4 linked regions of the Drosophila melanogaster genome follow. Changing the gene in region 1 together with any one later gene gives a genetic interaction. Each region holds a gene or a part of one and is shown in the gene's direction. Other genes may lie near its edges.

Evidence for each region.
Region 2: of Itpr (region 1) and Rala, changing one suppresses a phenotype caused by changing the other (phenotypic suppression), as found in Drosophila melanogaster (one study listed by BioGRID).
Region 3: of Itpr (region 1) and cac, changing one suppresses a phenotype caused by changing the other (phenotypic suppression), as found in Drosophila melanogaster (one study listed by BioGRID).
Region 4: of Itpr (region 1) and SERCA, changing one suppresses a phenotype caused by changing the other (phenotypic suppression), as found in Drosophila melanogaster (2 studies listed by BioGRID).

What each region holds. Positions count from the first base shown.
Region 1 is NT_033777.3:5,515,587-5,520,163, forward strand, and holds the start of Itpr (inositol 1,4,5,-trisphosphate receptor), read left to right. Parts: upstream 1-1,530; 5' UTR 1,531-2,302; intron 2,303-4,577. Other genes in the region: Nmdar1 (NMDA receptor 1), read right to left, coding at 432-554, 626-802. UniProt on the Drosophila melanogaster protein: Receptor for inositol 1,4,5-trisphosphate, a second messenger that mediates the release of intracellular calcium. Together with MCU, has a role in oxidative stress-induced ER-mitochondria calcium transfer.
Region 2 is NC_004354.4:3,716,609-3,721,612, reverse strand, and holds the start of Rala (Ras-like protein A), read left to right. Parts: upstream 1-1,977; 5' UTR 1,978-2,250; intron 2,251-4,945; exon of another isoform or gene 4,946-5,004.
Region 3 is NC_004354.4:11,982,045-11,986,860, reverse strand, and holds the start of cac (cacophony), read left to right. Parts: upstream 1-1,773; 5' UTR 1,774-1,966; coding exon 1,967-2,184; intron 2,185-2,945; exon of another isoform or gene 2,946-3,025; intron 3,026-4,816. Other genes in the region: gd (gastrulation-defective), read left to right, coding at 1-442, 565-1,078. UniProt on the Drosophila melanogaster protein: Voltage-sensitive calcium channels (VSCC) mediate the entry of calcium ions into excitable cells and are also involved in a variety of calcium-dependent processes, including muscle contraction, neurotransmitter release, gene expression, cell motility, cell division and cell death.
Region 4 is NT_033778.4:23,929,840-23,937,393, reverse strand, and holds the start of SERCA (Sarco/endoplasmic reticulum Ca(2+)-ATPase), read left to right. Parts: upstream 1-1,509; 5' UTR 1,510-1,569; intron 1,570-1,713; exon of another isoform or gene 1,714-1,814; intron 1,815-3,309; exon of another isoform or gene 3,310-3,485; intron 3,486-3,653; exon of another isoform or gene 3,654-3,703; intron 3,704-3,949; exon of another isoform or gene 3,950-4,579; 5' UTR 4,580-4,609; coding exon 4,610-4,727; intron 4,728-4,802; coding exon 4,803-4,820; intron 4,821-4,905; coding exon 4,906-4,988; intron 4,989-5,064; coding exon 5,065-7,236; intron 7,237-7,295; coding exon 7,296-7,411; intron 7,412-7,475; coding exon 7,476-7,554. UniProt on the Drosophila melanogaster protein: This magnesium-dependent enzyme catalyzes the hydrolysis of ATP coupled with the transport of calcium.

The sequences.
Region 1 (4,577 bases):
GTTGCCAAATAGTAGACAATATTGTAAATCACTTAGCTCAACTAAAGACCATCAATAATTAAAAAGATAATTATGATTATAAATCTTAGCTTTCTAATAACCAAACCCCTACAAACTCCTTCTATATATCATTCTGCAAACCTGGTTCATAACAACAAAACGCATTTAAAGTAATATTGTATAATTATAGTTCAATTTGCACATTTAAGCACTCTTTCGCTCTAAGAGCTCCAGTTGGTTAGCTCATGGATATTGGATTCTGCTGGCGCATTACCGCTTGTCATCATCCCATTTCCGAATCATTTCCCCTTAAATTATGGAAATGAATCGAACCAGGTCGGGTTAAACACAGATACGAGTATGTGAGCAGCTTCAAGCGATGGAGGAATGGTCGGAAATGAGCAGGTAATTGCATTTGGCCACCGACTTACCCGATTCTCGATGAGCTTGTCGCACACATTGAAGACCGTCTTGATGGGATTCTTGTCCATGCGGATGGTTTTGTCGTAGTAGGTGACCTTCCGCGGCACATACTGCTGATCGAAGTTGAGGTGCTGCGGTTGGATGGGAAAGCGTGATTATCGCATTCGGATTAGTGGAGCATCCAGTTAGTCAATGGGCTTGCCTTTATTGTGGTGCTAAAGTGCTCCTCGCTGTCGGAATTGCTCAGTACGCCGCCAATGTTGTACGTCGAGGGATTATCCGAGGCAGTGTGCCTCTGGGCGGCATCAATTGGCGCCACCAGGAGAACAATGGCGAGCCCAAACAATGGCCGGCAAAAAACAAACTCAGCCATAGCCATGATGCGGAAGTCTATAGTTTCTGGGGGAGGATAAACGAGGTGTTTTGTGCAACGATTTCAATGGTTTCTCGAGCAAACATCCAGCATTTTCTGCAAGTCGAAAAGGGGAGATGCCGCATATTAATGGCATTTTCCATTTCCCATTGCAGCAATGAGAATGGTCAAAGACAAGATTTCTTAAAGTTTATTTTGCTCATTTTTGAAAAAGCAGAACTTTGAATTCGCGGTGTTTTCTTACATATGTGGTAATGCCAGATCGCGAAAAAATGAATACCAACGCAAGATCGTTAGAGTGACCATTTCATTGTGTTAATAGGCATTAGAAGCAAAATCTAAGTATGTGAGTCGATGAGTGGAAAGATTTTAATCCTCGGCCAATCTATCAACATTGATCTGGAATTTTCAAGCACAGATGACTAAAAAACTATGAATATTTGAATAAGATTCAAATCTCTACCCTGTGCTGCCATGCTAACTAGTATTTAGAGTATGTTAGTATTTTATCCATGCGCTCCCATCTAATTTATCATATGGTTGGTTCTGCGGTTTTCAAACACTTGCTTATGTCATTCCTTGTCAATAGTAAATGCAATTAACGTGTTACTGTCAATAATTCTATATATGTGTGCATAAAACAGTTAAGATGTCAATTACACCATTTATTAACGGCTAACTAGTATTTTTCGCGCGGTCACACTAATCGATCATATGGTTCGACGGTTTTTAAACACTTGTTGCTCGACCGCGCTTTCAGTCGGACGTGTTTTCGCTGGGGTTTTCCGCGTCGGTCCGCCTTATCTGCGCTGCGCTGGCACTTCGTTGGAGTGAGGGAGACGGAGGAGCTGAGCGGTACGGTACACGAAGTCGCGCATGACGCGGCGCTCTGGAAAATTGCATTTTCATACGCCTTGAGCGCGTAATTTATGCCCGAAATGCTGGCCAATTTCAATTTGTTGGCCTAAACGCGACGTGCGTGTGTGGGTGTGTGTGCGTGATTGGGAAAAGTGCGTAGAAATCGACAATCGTTTTGTTTGCCCGCGCTGCTGCTGCGCTGCGACTGCGCTGCTTGTGGGTGGTCAACGGGATCGTGGGGTCGGGAGAGCCGATTGTTGACGTTGTATCGCATGCTGCCTCTCTTTCCCGCAGCCGGAATTGTTTGTCGCGTGTTTTAACGGTTATTTCTTATTGACAAAACCTCCTCTGCCGACGTCGCTGCCCCGGCATTGTTATTGTTATTGTGTGTGGTTTCTGGGCCTTCTTCTTCCTCCTCACCGTATTCCCACTTATTGTTATTCTCTCTTTTCCGCGGCTAAGTGCGGCCCACTCAAGGTGAAAATATATTAAGTTCTTTCGAGTGCCCGCGAGTGTTTGCATTTGAATAAAATAAATATAAAGTCAAATTCGATTTACGATCGTCGTCTATCGACGGATGATTCAATACCAATCACAATACAGTAGCACATCTCTACAAGGGATATTTTACATTACATACATTCTACGGTGAGTATCCCACGACAACGACAACGACAACCTGTTGCCAATCGAGCCCAGTTACTGGTTTTTCTGGTTTCCCGAAGGGCTTGCCACCAATTTAAGTAGGTCATAAGGCAATAAGCCTATCACGACCGAACCGATAGGCTAATTACCGCGATAGCTATTATCTAGCAGTCACGCCCTCGCCTTTTGATCCCACTTGATTTTGATTTCGTTCTTGCCTCTTGCTTTCGCTCAATAATTGACAATAAGCCAAAGCGAAAGGGCCAGAAATGCGCTGAGATTCAATTACGTTGCAGTGGCCACTATTTGTTGCTTACACGAATAGAAAAGCTAAGGAAAAAACATATAAATCCCACTGATTGAAGACATTTGCTTATCGGGGGTATGGTTCTATGCCAGCTACTCAAACAAAATATAAATAAATCCTTAGGGAATCAACTCCGAAGTCAAGTGTTGATTTCAACTCAAGCCACTATGTATATGAACGTGATGCTTTCCAAAATTGTTTTGTGGTGAGAGGGATTGTTTGTTGTTATACAAAAATTCTTCAAATGGGAGTGTTTAAGAATTATAATGACGAAGTAACATAGTCATAATTAAAACTCGTATTTACTCGTAGAGTGAAAGGGTATACCGGATACATATATTATTGATCAGATCGAGATTTCGGGATCTATAAAATCTAGATGTGCAAGTTTAATTCACAACGTCCGCGCCCACTCTAACGCCCACAAACCGTTCAAAACAGTCACGCCCACAGTTTCGAGAAAAGTTTGGATTTTTTTAATCCTAATATTTCTTTGTCAGTTCCTAAAGTTATGCAAATCACTTTTGGAAATTTCTCACTTGACGTCCTCTGAACTGAATGCATCTGCGTTCGAGAAAATCAACTTAGCGCCGATATTTTCTCTCAGTGCACACATCTTGATTGCAGACAGCGGAAAAGAGAGAGAGAGCGAAAGGGAGAGAGAGAAAGAGAGATGCTGACTGGGCGACGCGTGCTTAATTAAGCGCCACATTGTTGTTGGTGTTGACTGGGCAGGTGGCGAGCTATAGAGTAAGAGGCAAGATGAGGGATACCAAAAAAGATGGGGGAGGGGGATGAAAAGTGGACGTGTTGAGCCTGCTGCACGCGATGATTTCCATTACCTGGGGTAAAAAAATGGCTTTTCATCGCCAAATTCCTCTCTGGCCAAGTTTTTTTGTTGCGATTGAAAGAGCGCACTTCACTACTTCTTGATTTGCATGTAATCATGATTGGGTTAATGGGCCTATGATCACACAATTACGATCAATTATATTCACATTATAATGTCGAACAAATTACTAAATTATACAATCAATGGGACCAATAGATAGTATGTGCAGTGAGTTTCATTTATTGAAGATAACCAGTCAATTGAGATGTCATTTGCGGGTACTTTGATCAACCGGCTAGAAAATGTACATATATATTCTAATTTTTAAACGCTAGTTCGGTATAGTATTAAAATTTTTTTGATTATTATGTTTTTGTGCAATTATATATGTATATTTAAAAAAAAAAGTTGGAACTTGACAACTATTTTCTCTTTAACCACGATTCAGATGTCATCAATTTTAATATAAAGAGTTAAAAAATTCACAATTTGTTTTTGTTATTCTCTCAGAATCCCTCAACTGTAGTTGATAATTCTCCAAAAGTTGTCGTATAATTGCATTTGACATACTGATAACGTTTGTGCATGATTTTTAATCAATAAATTTTACCAACCAGCCAAATTTGTTCAGTTTTGCCACTTGTCACCATTTAAACAAACTGACCACAAAGATATTACATTAAATAAATAAAACACATTGAAGATTCTCAGGTATGCTTATTTTTTTGACCACAATCGTGTGTTTGCTCCAATTTATGTGGGCTTGCCATGAGCATGTGCATAATTCGAAGCTGAATTGAGCAGCTGGTGGGGATTTTGTGGAAGGGGGGGCGGTAAAGTGGCCGGGGTTGGCGCCTGGGAGCGCCAGCAATTAACATAAACAGGCAAATTGTGTAAGCGACATTCTGGAGCTGCAAATAAAATATAAGCGCCCGCCCCCCGCCCATCCGATGTGCACAGCCCACTTGGCTGCAATTATTAAGGGTGTGTGTGTGTTTGTTCGGATGCGGAGGTCGGGTGTTATCAATGAAGCAGACTGGATGAGAAGCAAAGTGTTCTCATCAGCGCCAGTCTGGTGTGATTGTGTGAGTATCTGTGTGCTTCACGTTTTTTCTGCTCAGGTGGGCCGAGGTCTCTTG
Region 2 (5,004 bases), on another chromosome or scaffold:
GTTTCCGCGGATTTAGTGAAGTTTGAAATTGATCCATTACTTTGTGATTATAAGCGCCGATAGGAATTTGTTTTTTTTTTTGTTTTCGATTCAGATACAAAAGTTTTTCTGAAATTTTTCTTTTAGCTCGTGGTTGGTTTAGTTATTCAATATTTTAATATTGATCGATTGCAAATGTCGGCAACGAGTGCGACAAGATTTGTCAGAGCCATGGCAATAATAAAGTGACAAATTCATCTGAAAAAATTAATAAATAACAATTTAATATCACTAATTTGCCACATGCATATTTTTAGCACGCACTGTGTGGCTTATATAAAGGCCCCTATCTAAAGGCATTTCATCTTATCAACGTTTTTGTTTTGCTCATAGCAGCAAACAAGAAATTACCAAATATGTATTGTATTATCAATTGAGTTTCAGTGAAATAATTGTGTGTGCTATAATTGAATGCAAGCAGAGGTTTTGCCAAAACCTGGCCATGTTTAGGTATTTCATTAAAAACACGCTCATAAACTACACTTGTATAATTGAAAAACTTGGCATCCTTTTAAATGCAATACGCTTTTATTGGGAAATTTCTCAATATGATTTAAACAACATTTCAGCCCGCCTAAGGGTTAATGTTCCAAGATGAAATCCCAATAGGTTTTAGTTCGAATCTTTCCCTTTTCCGTCTTCTTCTTGGCGCTTTTGTTGTTGCCCTGCCTGCGCTTTAGAGATCGGCATCTCGAATCTCCAATTGGAGTGAGGTTTTTTGTTATTTTCCTTTTGCACTCGGCGAGAAAATGCAGGGCAAAGAGCGAGTCTGATAGCGGGAAGGAGCAAAATGAACGACCCAACAACTAGCCGTACTAATTGGCATACACACATGCCACGCCTCCAACTGCTCCTAAGTGCACACACACACACACACACACACATACACACATGTGCATAAGTTTTTTTGAATTGTTACCGGTGCCAATTTGTTTTTGCGAGTGTATTTATTTGAATTTACTTTTATTCGCGTGAATATGTGTGAGTGCGAGAGAATTAAATCGCCGGCTGAGATAAAATAAAAGTCACTACAACAATAACAACAATGCTATTCACTCGCCTCTCGCTCGCACACGCTTCGCTTTTCGTTTGCTTTGCTTTGCGTTGCCTTTTTTTTCCGTTGTTTCCCCCCCACCCCTCTCCGTTTTTGCACACAACGCTGCGAGGTTAAGTTTGCGATTTTAGGAATTGTACGATTTCTACGGCTTTTCCGACATCGACATCACATTTAGAGGAACGAGAGGTGTTTACCATGCCATTTGGTGTGGCGAGCATATATCTTCCGCTTCCGATCGGATCGGCGATTGTCTTAAACTTTCAGAGGCTGCAACTATAGCTTTTTGTTGTTCTTTTTTTTTTTTCTTTCGCTTTTGTTTCTTTGGGATTTGGGTTTGTGGCGTGGCACTGTCGGCACGACACTTAAGGGTTAAGGTTAAGGGCCAATCGCCATGATTCCCAAATGTGTTTACTTCGGTTTTCCACAGCCGATTTTTGTCTATTTTCACAGTAAAAAAAATATTCACAATATTCACACGAACGCACACACGCAGAAATGGCCTAAAAATATACTGTAAGTTGGTGTAAAAAAAATACCGAAACGAGTGTGCAAAGAAGCCATCTGGCGGAACGATGAGTGCGCTTAACATGCACAGTTGTGTCTGTTAAAGTAGCAGTTTAGCGGTCACTTGTTACTTAGCGTGTGCACCAACCATAGTTATCGGATACTTAAACCGCTCGCCAGCGAGTGCACAACTCGCTCGCTCGCCTATCGAGTACATCAACCAGCAAAGCGAGTACACCCACCAGCCTTAGCGATCACACCCACCTCAATATAAGACGGAACTTATTGGTATTTTTGTGTTATTCTTAGTGATGCTTGTGCTTGGTATAATTGATCGATGGCAGAGCGGTCACATTGGTGCACCTCTGTGGTATTTTTCCACTTTCACACTAGTTTCTTTCAAGCAAGCAAAACCAACGGAACTTTAATTGCGGTGTGCGGCGAACGAGAAGAGAAACCGAAAAGCAGCCAATTTACTGTTGCGTTCCGATCCTGTTAATTCATCAGTTGCCGATTCTCCGATCGCGCCTGTAACTTTTTTGTTTAGTTTAGTGCATCAAGTGCGAGATAACACAGCAAAGCAACAACAAACGAAGCGACAGGCCAAAGCGGACGCGCAAAATACAATAAAAAGGAAGGAAGAAAACGAAGTACGCAAAAAGGAGGAAAGAGAAGCAAAAGCATTTACAGCTAAAGCATTATAGAGTGATTACGCATATTTCGTATGTTGTTCTTCATGATGTCTGCCGTGTGGAAAGATTCTTTCTTTTTATCTGGGTGTATACACCGATGAAATCCCAGAAAGGAATATACACAGGGGTTTTTTGTTTCATAAACAAAATTTGTAAAAGCCGCCAAAAGGCGCCGCTGCCGGCGTTGCAGTCGACGTCGAAGAAAGTGGATGTGTGTGTGTGTGTGTGTATATGTGTGTGAGCAAAGCAAGAGGTGAAAAAAAAACTCAGCAGTGAAATCTTTCTGCTGCTATTTGCTTTGTTGAATATTTAAATGTAAACTAAATAAAAGGTATTGCGCTTGGCATTTTTGTGTGTGTGCTCCATTCAGCAAAATAAAGGAAAGGAGCGGACTGATGAGCACACGGAGAGCGAGAGATAGAGAGAGAGAGAGAAAGAAAAGGAGAAGGGCGGCGAGAGCCTTTTATCAACGGCTATCAGCAGAAATATTTGTTGCCGCACCCCGCTTGACCTTATTCTCTCTCGCTCTCGCTGCCGCTCTCTCCTGCTTTATCGCCCTCTCTTTTTGCGGGGTGTGCAAGGTGCAGTCGCCGCCCGCATTTTGCGCGTTGACTCATACACACAAACACACACACACAAGCAAGCACGCACACGCCCCCATCGCCCCTTTGCTTTTTAAACTTCTCTTTATCCCAATTCCGCTTTGGGATCTCGTTTACGCCGCTCTAAATAACATTTGCCGAATTTTCCCAAGTATTAGTAATAATTTAACATTATACAAATATTATTTAACCAACAGTTAAATACAGTTGAGTTTTTTTTTAAATGACAAGTTTATTAAGCACATTTCTTCATTAATCACATATTTCGAATTTCTAAGAACCTTCTTTGGCACTCGAAAATTGTCGTTTGAAATGCAAGAAAATTCGCAGAAACGGTGTCTGGTTTTAATCTCTGTTATTTTGTGAGATCGCTTTTGATGGCATTCGCTCTGTGGCGTTATTTTCTCACAGTGACCCGTTTTCCGCTACCATCTTTCCCTTTCCCCATTTCTCATTATCTCCACGAACGTGCCGATTTTCGGGTTCTGTTGCTAATCGGAGAACCATTTTGACATTAGCGTTAGATCATCATGATGGTGATCGTTAGTTAATCCGCTTCAACTTTATGCGCATCTGAATGTTCCATCTTTTTATCCAACACGCCTAAAGCAAATGAGGAAAACTGAAAAACGTGACACAGAAAAATGGTTTTACAGTTTCTAATTAGGCTCAAGTTCAAGATCAATTTGAGTGCCAGCTTGTTTTATATTGAATAATTTCATTTATCTATGACTCACTTAATCGTATGTGTTGACCCCTTTCCCCCTTTCACCAACATTTCCTAATTATTTGTTTGTTTGTTTGGTTGCCAAGGGGCGTTAAAAGCTCTCACCAATTGAACGAAATGCGAACGGGGGGAAGTGAATAGCTGAAGTATGTCAAAAAAAAATGCGTTCTCAGTTCCTTTAAAACTGAGTGCTTAAATAATCAATAACTGCTCTTTGTGTAGTTTGCCTTATTATTTACAAAATGCGAAACCAGTTTTGATTTCAGATCGGTCTGTAGAATATGAGCCATTCATATTCCAGAGAAATTTAATCGTTATCAAAAGTGTAAACAAAATCTTACATTATTTGCAAGATATAGCCGAGCAATTTGTTAGCTGTTTCACCTCTGACCTTTTCAAATATAATTCTCTGGCAGGCGAGAATAGATTAACAATAGAGTTGAAAACACTGACTCATAATCTTCACGATCTTTCGCAGTGACACAGTTTTTGGTATATATGTAGTTTTCTCATCTTTTGTTCGGCATCTCCGGCATGTTTGCTAACTTGGCCAGAAGGGAGAAGATAGCGCAAGTCGGCCAACTTAGCCTAATTTATAGCCATCAAGCTGTGATTTGCTCTAATTTCACTTCTAATGGAGTTTTGTCAAGGGAGACAAATCACGGAAATGGGTTCTATTTCTATGTTTCTTCTAGGCCAAGTCCATTATGGCCAACATTAAAGTTTGTTTTCTACGAATAATAATGTTGGCCTAATGCAAAAGTTATACACACTTGATGATAATTGTCCATAATGGCCAAATATGTCTGCCGAATGTCTTCAAAATACGTTTTATATACCTGATTATCAATGAATTGTGCATTAAATACGTGTAATGACTTTGTTATTTTCCAATTAAATGATTAATCGCCCGTTACCAACGATCTACGATATCCGTTTGTAAAGCATTTAACATTTGAAAATCTTGAGATTTCTTCCAACAAACGATTCTTGACAAAGTCGCGCGCGCAATCACATATTTGTTAGCTGACTTTAGTTTGTTACATCATCGTATCAGCATCTCCAAAGTTCTCTCAACACATTTGCCTTATACAGGTTTTATTTGTTTTATGCCCAGGCTCTCAAGTGTTTCCCCATGGCTTTTGTTGTTGCTCCATCGCATTTCAAGATCTTTTATCACAGCTGACTATGCCTAGGTTTTAATTATGCTCTCCTCGCTTCAGAAAACACTTCCCACGCATTGTTCGTACATATATGTACCTATTTTTCATATACCACTCGGTGTGAAATAAGTTTTTAGTTTTTTTTTTTTTTTTTTTTTTAGGTATCGCTATCTGCAAAGGCAGATCAAACTTGCTCGGCCAAATAAAAACACTTTGTAAA
Region 3 (4,816 bases), on another chromosome or scaffold:
AGAGCTCCGATGGCATCACATCGCCAGTTTTTGTCGATGACGATGAAGACGATGTCCTGGAGCATCAGTTTGTGGACGAATCAGAAGCAGAAGCGATAGAAAGCGATAGCGCCGATAGCCTGCCATCGATCACCAGGGGATCGTGGCCTTGGCTAGCGGCCATCTATGTGAACAACCTGACCTCCCTGGACTTTCAGTGCGGCGGTTCGCTTGTCTCGGCACGCGTTGTAATCAGCTCGGCGCACTGCTTCAAGTTGTTCAACAAGCGCTACACATCCAACGAGGTGCTCGTCTTTCTGGGCCGCCACAATCTGAAGAACTGGAACGAGGAGGGATCTCTGGCGGCCCCCGTCGATGGCATTTACATTCATCCCGACTTTAACAGTCAGCTGAGCAGCTACGATGCGGATATCGCAGTGATTATACTCAAGGACGAAGTTCGGTGGGTGCCAATATGCCTAAAGCTTACATATTCAAGATTTAGATTCATATCTAAACCGCGATGTGAAATCGAATATGAAGATCATTTATTATATTGACAGTATACCATTATTTTCAACGCAGATTTAACACCTTTATTCGACCCGCTTGCCTGTGGTCTGGTTCCAGCAAAACGGAGTACATTGTGGGCGAGCGGGGCATCGTCATCGGCTGGAGCTTTGACAGAACGAACAGGACGCGGGATCAGAAGCTGTCGTCGGAGCTACCGGGCAAGAAGTCCACCGATGCCAGTGCACCCAAGGTAGTAAAGGCTCCCATTGTCGGCAATGCCGAATGCTTTCGAGCCAATGCCCACTTTCGCAGCCTATCCTCAAACCGAACGTTTTGCGCCGGCATCCAGGCGGAGGAACGAGATACGCATCAGAGCGGGGCGAGCATTTACACCGGTATATCGGGGGCCGGACTTTTCATCCGCCGGAACAATCGCTGGATGCTGCGTGGCACAGTATCAGCGGCCCTGCCCGCCGTAGAGACACCGGATGCGGAATCTAGCCATAAGCTTTGCTGTAAGAATCAGTACATTATATATGCCGACGTGGCCAAGTTTCTGGACTGGATCACGGCCTTTGTAATTTGAATCACATCCGAAATGTGTATGGGAACGCATTTCTAAGTGAGCGCTGTGATAATAGCCCCTTGGGCATGGCGATGGGCAAAAGTTACTCGGAGTAATTAGCGGTTATCGGTTTTTTCTTTTTTTTTTTTTGCTAGTTTCATTACGAAAACTTCTGATTATGGCATTTCAGTTTTATTTTTATCTAAGACAGTAGGGCAATTCAAATAATAAATTATGGCACGGGAAAGCCAAAAAGGAATTTTCCCATAGAATCGCTGCGCTTTTAGATCTCCACCATAATATTAACATTAAAAATCTCGAAATTTGCAATGTTTAAATTCCTCTGACCACATATAGAAAACGTGTATGTTGAAAGAATCACAGGTATGTTTGATATCGAAATTAATTGTAATACAGTAACGTTTACCATGCCTTTGTTATCAGTGTGTTGTTGGCGCTCGTGAACAAAGGAAGCTGCTAATATGCCGGAGTGGGCGGCCTGGCCCGTCTGAGCGGCGTTCACCCATGGACACCTGGACACCCTAATTACCAGCGGCAGACACTGTACTGCGCAAATGCTGACTACTATCAAGCACGTCATCGCACGTCATCAGCCGCAATCGTCGTCATCGCCATCTGGGCCGTTATCTATCTTGCTGGGTTGTTGGGGCATCGACAGCAGTCGTAGCCATCGACTATCAGTTCCGTCCGGACCGTGGCAGCTGGTGCATCACACCTGGGGCTCTGGGCCCGTCGTCTACGGACATTCGCAATCGTTGAAGATCCCCAAACAAGTGCAACGCATTGTATTGTGAACGTGCCCGATAGTTGGTAGTGAATATATTACAGAAATGGCAATATTTGGAGTACATTTCGCGTATTGCAAAGTTCGATTCATCGATTCCCAGAATGCTGGGCGGAGTGGGAGCTCGTCGCCGAAGGGGCTCATCTCCTATGGCGCGATTGACCATTAGCAACATCAACGGTCTGGATGACAATATTGCCATCATCGGCGATGGCGTCATCCGGCGGAGCACGCACTACGGCTCGCAAGGGTCTAACAAAAGGCGCCGGGCTCCGGAAAGTTTTGCTCTTGTCCAGACGCGACCGAATCTAGGCGACCTAATGTGAGTACCACTACCAATTTAAATATAAATTATTTAAACTTAACATTATTTTAAAAGATCAATTGATATTTAGAAAAGTATTGAAAATTGGTAAAAATTCATTATTATTAAAGATAGTATGCAAAGGTAATTGACGAGGGTTATTGAAATGTACAGAGATAAAATTAAGTCTGAAATAGAGTAAAATATGTTGTTTGTTTTATATATTAATTAATTAGGTCAAGTATGAGAGCGCCTTTGATCATTTGTAATTCGGTTAAAGCCGGGTTTTCAAATAACCGATATCTTGATGCAAAAGTTTTTACTACAAGGGGTTGAAAGTATTCTTAAAGCTTAAAGCTTTATCAACAATTGTGGCAGTAGTAAATCAATTACTTAAATCAATTAAAAAAAAAACTCTTAGAATGGGTAAGTAGCTTAAACTTCGTCGCTTCGCTTTTTTTTTAAACTTTAGCAGTATGATTTAAGCCCGGATTTTAAAACCGCGATTTCTCGAAAGTTCGATAGTTTTGTTCCCAAGGGGTGAAGAGCAAGCGGAGCTTAAAGCTCAATCGACGACTGTAACGGTCCTAGGAGCGGGTTTCCTTGGAGGACACGCATGCGCTCTCCTCCGCACTGGCTGGCCAGTGTGTCCACCTCCGATTGTCCGATTGAGCTTGAACTGAAGCTTGGACCAGAGCTTTCGGGCGGATGCAGAGCGCAGGGCTGGTAGATTTTTTTCCCCATATTTTTGCCCTTTGTGCGTGTGTTTGGACCCTGGCGATGTGGTAGTATGTGATACAAAGTCGCCGAGTTGAAGTCTTGCGTTTTGTTGAGTTTTTCGTCCAACTGGTGAGACAAAGTCGGTGGTGACAGCTCCCGTAGAAGCGGTTTTTGTTTTTTATTTTTAACTCGGGACCCAGTCAATTTAACAGCAAATGTGCGACAACTAAAATGTGGCTGAATACAGAAGCCTGGCGTTAAAGAAATCAAGTGAAAATCACTCGCAATGCGGGGTTAAAAGTGCTGTGAAAATTCCACATTTCGAATGTTGTGTGCGCTGGCATCCGAATTCGGGTCGAGTGGTGAAAATAACACTACAAACATCCAAACCAAGAACAAGAAATATAGTCGGAAAAGCGTGAAAATCGTGAAAAATCGTGAAAAACCCAATGGCAAAACGTCGAATTGGCGACAATGGCGGCGAGGACAGCAAAAATAGCAAGAAAAGATATCGGGAAACCAAGTGAAAAGCATTATTCGGGCTTACTGAAGCCAATAAACGACCTCTGATTGTGCTCCTCCAGGCAACCAGATCTAATTTTTATTTTTAGCCACATTCATATACATATATATATGCGTTCGTTTCAAATCCCAATTACCGAAGCTATCCTTAAAAACCAGTTGTAAAAGTTAAAGTTAACAAGCCCCACGAACGCACCACACACACACCAACACACCCGCACGAATATACATATCCATATACATATACATATACATATACATATATATGTATAGCCATATATATATACATAGTTGTTGGGATTGGGTCAGCGGGTCGGTAGCACAACGGGCGGAATGTTGCGTCGGTGGTGCTATATATTGCGGTGGATGGAAGTGGAAGTGGATGTGGCAAGAGGCAAGTGGAAAAGCAAAGGCGAAAGGAAAAGCTAAAGCCAAAGCTAAAGCTGAAGGAGAAGGAAAAGGAGATATGGAGTTTTCGGGTGTTTTTTAGCCTATCGGTATATCGTTTATTTTTGTGACGTGTACACGCACTTTCGAGGTGAATGAATTGCGGCGATGTAGCAGGAAGCACCCCCCAAATTAATATTTAAATTAACTATATTCTCAGTCCACACAAATATTTACTAGTCGTAAATTCCCCAACCCACACACACACATACAAATCTACACATGTATATGTTTTCCATACCGGAAACGAATTCTAATGATGGTTCTCCTCTCTTCACGGAAGTGAAAAATTTGTTTGTCTCTGTTCTTTTAACAATGCTCATATGAATACTCGTATGGGGAATTGAATGCGAGCATATGAACAAATATTGTGGTAGTCGTGTGCTCTGTAACTAAACTTATAACGACATATCAAATTTCAGTTAGTTGGTTCTTTAAGCCCAATTAAAAGTGTAACAGTTTCCAGAAAAAAAGAAATAACAAAAAGCGTTAGTTTAGAGGGGGCAACGATGGCAAGTGTGTCATTGTTGCTGTTTATTTTTGGCAATTACAGGTTCGTTGGTCTCACTGTGGCCCGATTGTAGTTAGACACACAGATATATATAGCTTCTGCCCATTCCAAAAACCCAAAATCGTTCCGAAAGACATCGTCAACATAAAAAAAAAAAAAATTTCAGACAACTGTGCCTGGTGACGTCACTAGGGAAAATAGAGCTGGAACTATACAATTGCAATAAATAACAAGAATTGCTTTTAAAGAAAAGACATTGCTTTGCGCAATTGAAAATGAACTATTCAAAATAGGGCAATAGTTAATTTAAATGCAAATGCAACCAGATTTACTGGGCCCTTAAAAGTAGGCAAGCGATTTGTGGTTGCGATGTTATCGTTATCGGTGTGACCCAGTGATTGTTGAAACCAAAGAGAAAGAGTGAGAGAGAGAGGGGGAGAGAGCTTCTGC
Region 4 (7,554 bases), on another chromosome or scaffold:
AGTAAATAGTAATGTATGTGATAACTTTCAGTTGTGGCTCTATTTTTGGACCTAAATACTTTCGTGACGTAGAGATTTTAGGAGGAACTGGCTAGGTGATTGATCTGATGTTAAGGGTGGCGATGTCTTCTCTTTGTTATTACGCAATTTGAAATTATGAAAAAATGAATAATTGGCAAATGGTTGTGTAATAAGAGGCAGCATAAGTAGTGTTTTGCCGATTGATGAAATGATTCAAAATGCATTTGAATTCAATATATTTTGCCTGTTTTTACTTTAATATCCCTTTTTTATAAAGGAAGATTGGCCAGAGCATTATGCAATAAAAGTTATCATTTATAAGGCAATTAAGTGTTAAAAAACATTATTTTGCAGTTTGTATTTGTTTTTAAATGATCACTTCGCTTGATTGCTTGAGATTGCTGGAATCTGGAACCATTACCATATACCGAGTTCCTAAATAGACAATATCCAGCGGTTGACAACCGCATCAAACCCAGATTTGCCAGTCCCAAAATAAATCAAAATTCCTGGCTGCATTGTCATTTATCAACATTTTTAAATATACACATAGGTAGCTTATAAAAGTTCTGGCCTAGACATATAGAGGTAAAATAGTAGCCAAATGCATATTTATGGGGGTCTCTGTGAAAAGTCGTAATAGCTGCTGCACAAGGCGGATGGCTGATGGCGGATATCATACGGCAGAAACGTGTGCGGAGAGCGCTCTTGCCAATATCTGAGAGTCCGAGTCCGTAGGGGCATTACAAGCCTATAAATAAAAATAGTCGACGGCTGCCAGTCTCTGCTGAAATTGGGGAAAAAGGCAGAAAAGCCAAACGAAGAACTAGGGGTTCGCAGGCCGACTGGTGGATGCTCTTTCAGCTGTTAATGGATCGAGATCAACTAGATTGAGGAAATGAGTATTTGGGCTGGGATTTGGGATCTGTTGTATTTGCCAAGGACAAGTAAAATATTCAAAGGGCAGCAGCTATGGATAACTATGATGGATTCTAGCTCGGCGAAAGTGGAATGCGTCAGTGCCAGTGCCATCATTCCCAACCATCCCCCCACCAAAGGACCCAAGTCTTGACCCACTTGAAGTGGCTGACACCGAAGGTAGAAACACCTTTGAGTGACAAACCCTTCCACACAACCCAGCATAATTTCCCCAGATTGGTTTAAAAATACCACTTTCTAAATATTAGACAAACACACGTGCATTTCTCGGAATACGTCTGCACTCACACTCCCAGGCACATCCACATCCACAACCACATCCACGTCCACAAGTGATCTCGCATCGCCACATTGCCATTGCTCTAGACTTTCGTGGCCGTGCGCTCCCGCGGATCCGAGATCGGGCGGCCATATGTACGTATGTATGTATGTGGATGGGGAGCTCGTGTGCCCGTGGTATTGTGGTATTCCCACCTATACCTAGCCACATATACGAATCTCTGGGGGACCACGGTGAATCTGCCTCGTCGAGGTACGAACGAGCTGCACGAGCAGATCTGAACCGCCACCATTCGAATTCGGATCGCATTGGATTGGATTGGATAGGTGGTAAGTGCTCAAAAGTTTGTGCGTGCTAAAAGTATTTTCCCGGGCCAAAATAGAGAGTGTATGTAGTTTTGGGAATTTTGCCAAAATATATGAATTTTGTAATTCAAATAGACACTCTCATCGCGCAGCGTTCTCCTTGCGTTCAGTTGCCGTTGATCGTTATAATAGCGCGATCTTTGTGTCTTGGTCTTCCGACTGAAATAAATTATTATATAATAACGGAATTTTTGCTAGGAATAATAATTGTAAGTTTTGTTGATTTTCTGCAACAACTGCAAAGCGAATACGCCAGTGAATTACTCCAAACTGCCAAAACCATTGGGTAAAGCAAATAAACCCCCCTAAAAACTATCGAAAATTCGTCCGCGCGCTTTCAAAAGAAAAGAAAACCTGGAAACCAAAAGTTATTGAAATGCCTACATATCTACATACGAACATGCTTCTTACACTCGAAAACCGTGCTTCAAACTCAAAGTGTTTGCCCCCAGTTTACTTTGCCACCCTGGAGCTCGTCCAGAGCTCGTAGTTCGATCTATCTACATACATGAAATATCCGTAAGGGCGACGATTCGGCGGTGACCTCGACCTCCGGATGGTATCGAAAATTTGAATGTCACCAATACGAGAGCACTCCACGAATAGATTCGATCCGACACAGATGTAAAGTTTTCCAAGTGCCCGAGATCTATGTATCTGTGATTGAAAATCTGGTTATGCAACCACAACCGCAACCGTGGCGAATATATTCGTACCCAAATTCGAAAGATCCATGTCTTGTACTGTACCTGTAGCCCTTGTAACAAGCATAGAACACACGATCTCTTGAACTCCTTAACTACCCGCATTCATAGCTTAATGGTGGTTACATCGGTTAGTGAATTTGACTGCCTTTCAGTTGCAAAAGATCCCTGAAACCAACAGACAGTTTTACAGAAACGTGTAGCTCTATAAGTACATTCAGCCCAGGATCATGGCCCAATCATTTGTACTTATTTTTGAACCCACCCACCCACTATTATACAACCCATCGGTGGACTTGTCAATCAGAAATTCGGATTCGGGGACGTGGGAAGCAGCATATCGCACAAGTGTCGACATCCATTAGCATGGAGATATCTCTGCTCGCAATATCATAAGCCGTTAAATCGTACATATAACCGCGCAGAATAGGAATCTTTCTCCCTACGATCGTCTCTCTGTATATGTACTCAAACTTATTTATGTGGTCCTAGTACATATCTTTATATCTACGAGTGTTCAGAATTGAGCTGTATTTTTCGGGTGCTAGGACTCTATTTTTAGCCCATCTCGGACAGAGGCGATTTTTTGCTCCATAATGCACACACACATGTGTATTTTAGGGGTATATATAGGCTATATGCATGAAGATGTTTTCGAAACACACGTCTCTGTGCTCAAAATATAAGTAGTATTCGAGCGCATTGATTGACAGTTTTTTGAAAACTAACGCCTTTTGTGGGCGGGCAACTGGTGGAAACCTCGTTATCAGAAGTTACGTATGTAATTCTGTGACGTAGCCAGCGTAATATTCAAGTATTATGCGAGTTGGCTGCCGTTCAAAATTCCCCGTATGGCCTGATTCTAGTGTCTGGTCGCGAAAAAGATTAAAATTAAAATTTAAAAATGTCGCTGCTGGCGAATACCTGGCACCCAGATCTATTTATTGCGGGCTCTTGATCTCGATCTCATTAATTTGAGCACAAAATGCGCGAAAAGAATAGTGTTGCTTGTTGTGTGGCCAAAATAGTGCGGATGTCTCTGTCGCTTGCCAAGTGAAAATATGACAATGTATAAATAAGTTTAAGCATTCGTGATAAGGATTTCAGTTCGATTTACACCACAGAAGGGAGTAAAAACATTTGGTTTTCGATCGCAATAACAACTTGATTTATAAGGTTAGAGGTATTTTCCAATAAAGAAACTTTCCAGCACAGCTGAATTCCTTCGAAACTTTGATTAGTTTTAAATTCCTATATCACCTCAGCTATCGGTATTACTGAACACGGAAACTCAACAGTTAGCCATCGCAGTTGAGATTCTCAGTTATCGATAACGCCGGCTATCGCAGTTTAGTAGCACAAATTGAACGCGTCAGTAGAAGCTGAGCTAAAAGGTGGGATAATTATCTAATAATTGCCAGGACTGAGAATTCTTAAAAGTTGGAGAAAGAGGCAGCTCTGCACAAATAACGTAACTCGGACGATATACGTTTTCAGTCAGCCCTGTCTTGTGCGAATAATGTCGTGTCATAGTGAGGCAGAACGGCGATAGGCAGTAAATCGCGGCTTGGTACTTAGTGCAATAGTTATCAGCACACATATTCAGAAAAAAGCGCCATGGGTTATATTATATAGAGAGTCAGTGGAAAAAAGTACTTAACACACGCAGTGCGTCGTTTAGCGAGGTTAACGTAGGAGCAGAGCACCCGTATTACGGACCAGATCCCCCAATCCCCCGCAGAAACTGAGAATAGAAAAACGAAAACTGCGTCTGTTGTGCGAAGTGACACGTGTGTGAATCTCATAAGCGGAGCGATTTGGCCAGGGTAACAGCCCATCATAGTAATGCAATATTCCAGCATATTCTCCGACCCGATCCGCACAATCCGATCCTAAGTTGGCGCGATAACTGCGCGACTTTAGTGGCCAGTCCGGGCCCGATCAGAAGTGCCTGAAATCGGGGAATTAGCATGTAGCACCTGTGTATGTGCGTATGTTGGAAAGTACCCGTGAGCCGAGTGCCGTGCACATGCACATGTACGACCACTTATTCAGAACCTAATGAGGTAGTTTTAACTGCAAACGTACATGCCAGTACAGATGTATGTGCATACATACGTGCATACACACTTGCTATTCCAGTCAGTCGTTGAATAGAGCCCAGAAAACGGCAAAATAGCTAAATAGCCCTGCCAGAGAATTAAAATGAGCCCCTTGCCTTGTGTCTACTTTCAAATCCCCACCTGAATCGCCCCGGAATCTGGACACAGGCCACTGAACGAAGAGGATAACGAATCAAGATGGAAGACGGTCACTCGAAAACCGTCGAACAGTCCCTCAACTTCTTCGGAACGGACCCCGAGCGCGGCTTAACCCTCGACCAGATCAAGGCTAACCAGAAGAAATACGGACCCAATGGTGAGAGTCGCGCGTAATTCCCCTCCACATTCCGAGACCGAATCGACTGACGTGTTTGTTTTCTTATCGTTACAGAGTTGCCGACTGAGGAAGGTGCGAACACAACCCGAGCAGATCCCCTGCCCCCCACCCCCACTTCACTGTATGCATACATTATAATAACGATTGTATTCCACAGGAAAGAGCATCTGGCAGCTGGTCTTGGAGCAGTTCGACGATCTGCTGGTGAAGATTCTGCTGTTGGCAGCCATCATCTCATTTGTAAGTGCAGCAGCACAAAGAAACCCACCCTCAAAAACTTAGTTACGACCACACTCTTCCCCTCTGCAATCCCCAGGTTCTCGCCCTGTTTGAGGAACACGAGGAAACGTTCACTGCATTTGTAGAGCCCCTAGTTATTTTACTTATCCTGATAGCCAACGCCGTGGTGGGAGTATGGCAGGAGCGTAACGCCGAGTCGGCCATTGAGGCCCTCAAGGAGTACGAGCCTGAGATGGGCAAGGTGGTGCGCCAGGACAAGTCCGGCATCCAGAAGGTGCGCGCGAAAGAGATCGTGCCCGGTGACCTGGTTGAGGTGTCTGTCGGTGACAAGATCCCTGCCGATATCCGTATCACCCACATCTACTCGACCACCCTTAGGATCGATCAGTCCATCCTCACCGGTGAGTCGGTCTCCGTCATCAAGCACACCGATGCCATCCCCGATCCCCGCGCCGTCAACCAGGACAAGAAGAACATCCTGTTCTCCGGCACCAACGTCGCAGCCGGCAAGGCCCGTGGCGTCGTCATCGGCACTGGCCTGAGCACCGCCATCGGCAAGATCCGTACTGAGATGTCCGAGACCGAGGAGATCAAGACCCCCCTGCAGCAGAAACTGGACGAGTTCGGTGAGCAGCTGTCCAAGGTCATTTCCGTCATTTGCGTTGCCGTGTGGGCCATCAACATCGGCCACTTCAACGACCCCGCTCACGGAGGCTCCTGGATCAAGGGTGCCATCTACTACTTCAAGATCGCCGTCGCTCTGGCTGTGGCTGCCATCCCCGAGGGTCTGCCCGCCGTCATCACCACCTGTCTGGCTCTGGGCACCCGCCGCATGGCCAAGAAGAATGCCATCGTCCGCTCCCTGCCCTCCGTGGAGACCCTGGGCTGCACATCTGTCATCTGCTCTGATAAGACCGGCACACTCACCACCAACCAAATGTCCGTTTCCCGCATGTTCATCTTCGACAAGGTTGAAGGCAACGACAGCAGCTTCCTCGAATTCGAGATGACCGGCTCCACCTACGAGCCCATCGGCGAGGTCTTCCTCAACGGTCAGCGCATCAAGGCTGCTGACTACGATACCCTGCAGGAACTGTCCACCATCTGCATCATGTGCAACGACTCCGCCATTGATTACAATGAGTTCAAGCAGGCCTTCGAGAAGGTCGGCGAAGCCACTGAGACCGCCCTGATTGTGCTGGCTGAGAAACTGAACAGCTTCAGCGTGAACAAGTCTGGCCTGGACCGCCGCTCGGCTGCCATCGCCTGCCGCGGTGAGATCGAAACCAAGTGGAAGAAGGAATTCACCCTGGAGTTCTCTCGCGATCGTAAATCCATGTCCTCGTACTGCACCCCCCTGAAGGCTTCCCGCCTGGGCACTGGCCCCAAGTTGTTCGTGAAGGGCGCCCCCGAGGGTGTTCTAGAGCGTTGCACACACGCCCGCGTTGGCACCACCAAGGTTCCTCTGACCTCGGCCCTGAAGGCCAAGATCCTCGCCCTGACCGGCCAGTACGGTACTGGACGCGACACCCTTCGCTGCCTGGCTCTGGCCGTTGCCGATAGCCCCATGAAGCCCGACGAGATGGATCTGGGCGACTCCACCAAGTTCTACCAGTATGAGGTTAACCTGACCTTCGTCGGTGTTGTGGGCATGTTGGATCCCCCCCGTAAGGAAGTTTTCGATTCCATTGTCCGCTGCCGTGCCGCCGGTATTCGTGTTATTGTGATCACCGGCGACAACAAGGCCACTGCCGAGGCTATCTGCCGCAGAATCGGTGTATTCGCCGAGGATGAGGACACCACTGGCAAGTCCTACTCGGGTCGTGAATTCGACGACCTTTCCCCCACCGAACAAAAGGCTGCCGTCGCCCGCTCCCGCCTCTTCTCCCGCGTGGAGCCCCAGCACAAGTCCAAGATTGTTGAGTTCCTGCAGAGCATGAACGAAATCTCCGCTATGACTGGTGATGGTGTGAACGACGCCCCCGCCCTGAAGAAGGCTGAGATCGGTATTGCCATGGGCTCTGGTACCGCCGTCGCCAAGTCTGCCGCCGAAATGGTGCTGGCTGACGACAACTTCTCCTCCATCGTGTCTGCCGTTGAAGAAGGTCGCGCTATCTACAACAACATGAAACAGTTCATCCGCTACCTCATCTCTTCGAACATTGGTGAGGTCGTCTCCATCTTCCTTACTGCTGCCCTTGGCCTGCCCGAGGCTCTGATTCCCGTCCAGCTGCTCTGGGTTAACTTGGTACGTCTTGATGGGGTATTTACTACTTAAAATGGTTAGTAATAGGTACTTGGTCACAGGTTACTGATGGTCTCCCAGCCACCGCTCTGGGCTTCAACCCCCCTGATCTGGATATCATGGAGAAGCCCCCCAGGAAGGCCGATGAGGGTCTCATTTCCGGATGGTTGTTCTTCCGGTGGGTTACTCAAAAAGCACACATCCTTTAATCGGTATTAACTTGGCCTCAATCGAACTTTTAGTTACATGGCTATTGGATTCTATGTCGGCGCTGCCACCGTCGGTGCCGCCGCCTGGTGGTTCGTGTTCTCTGATGAGGGA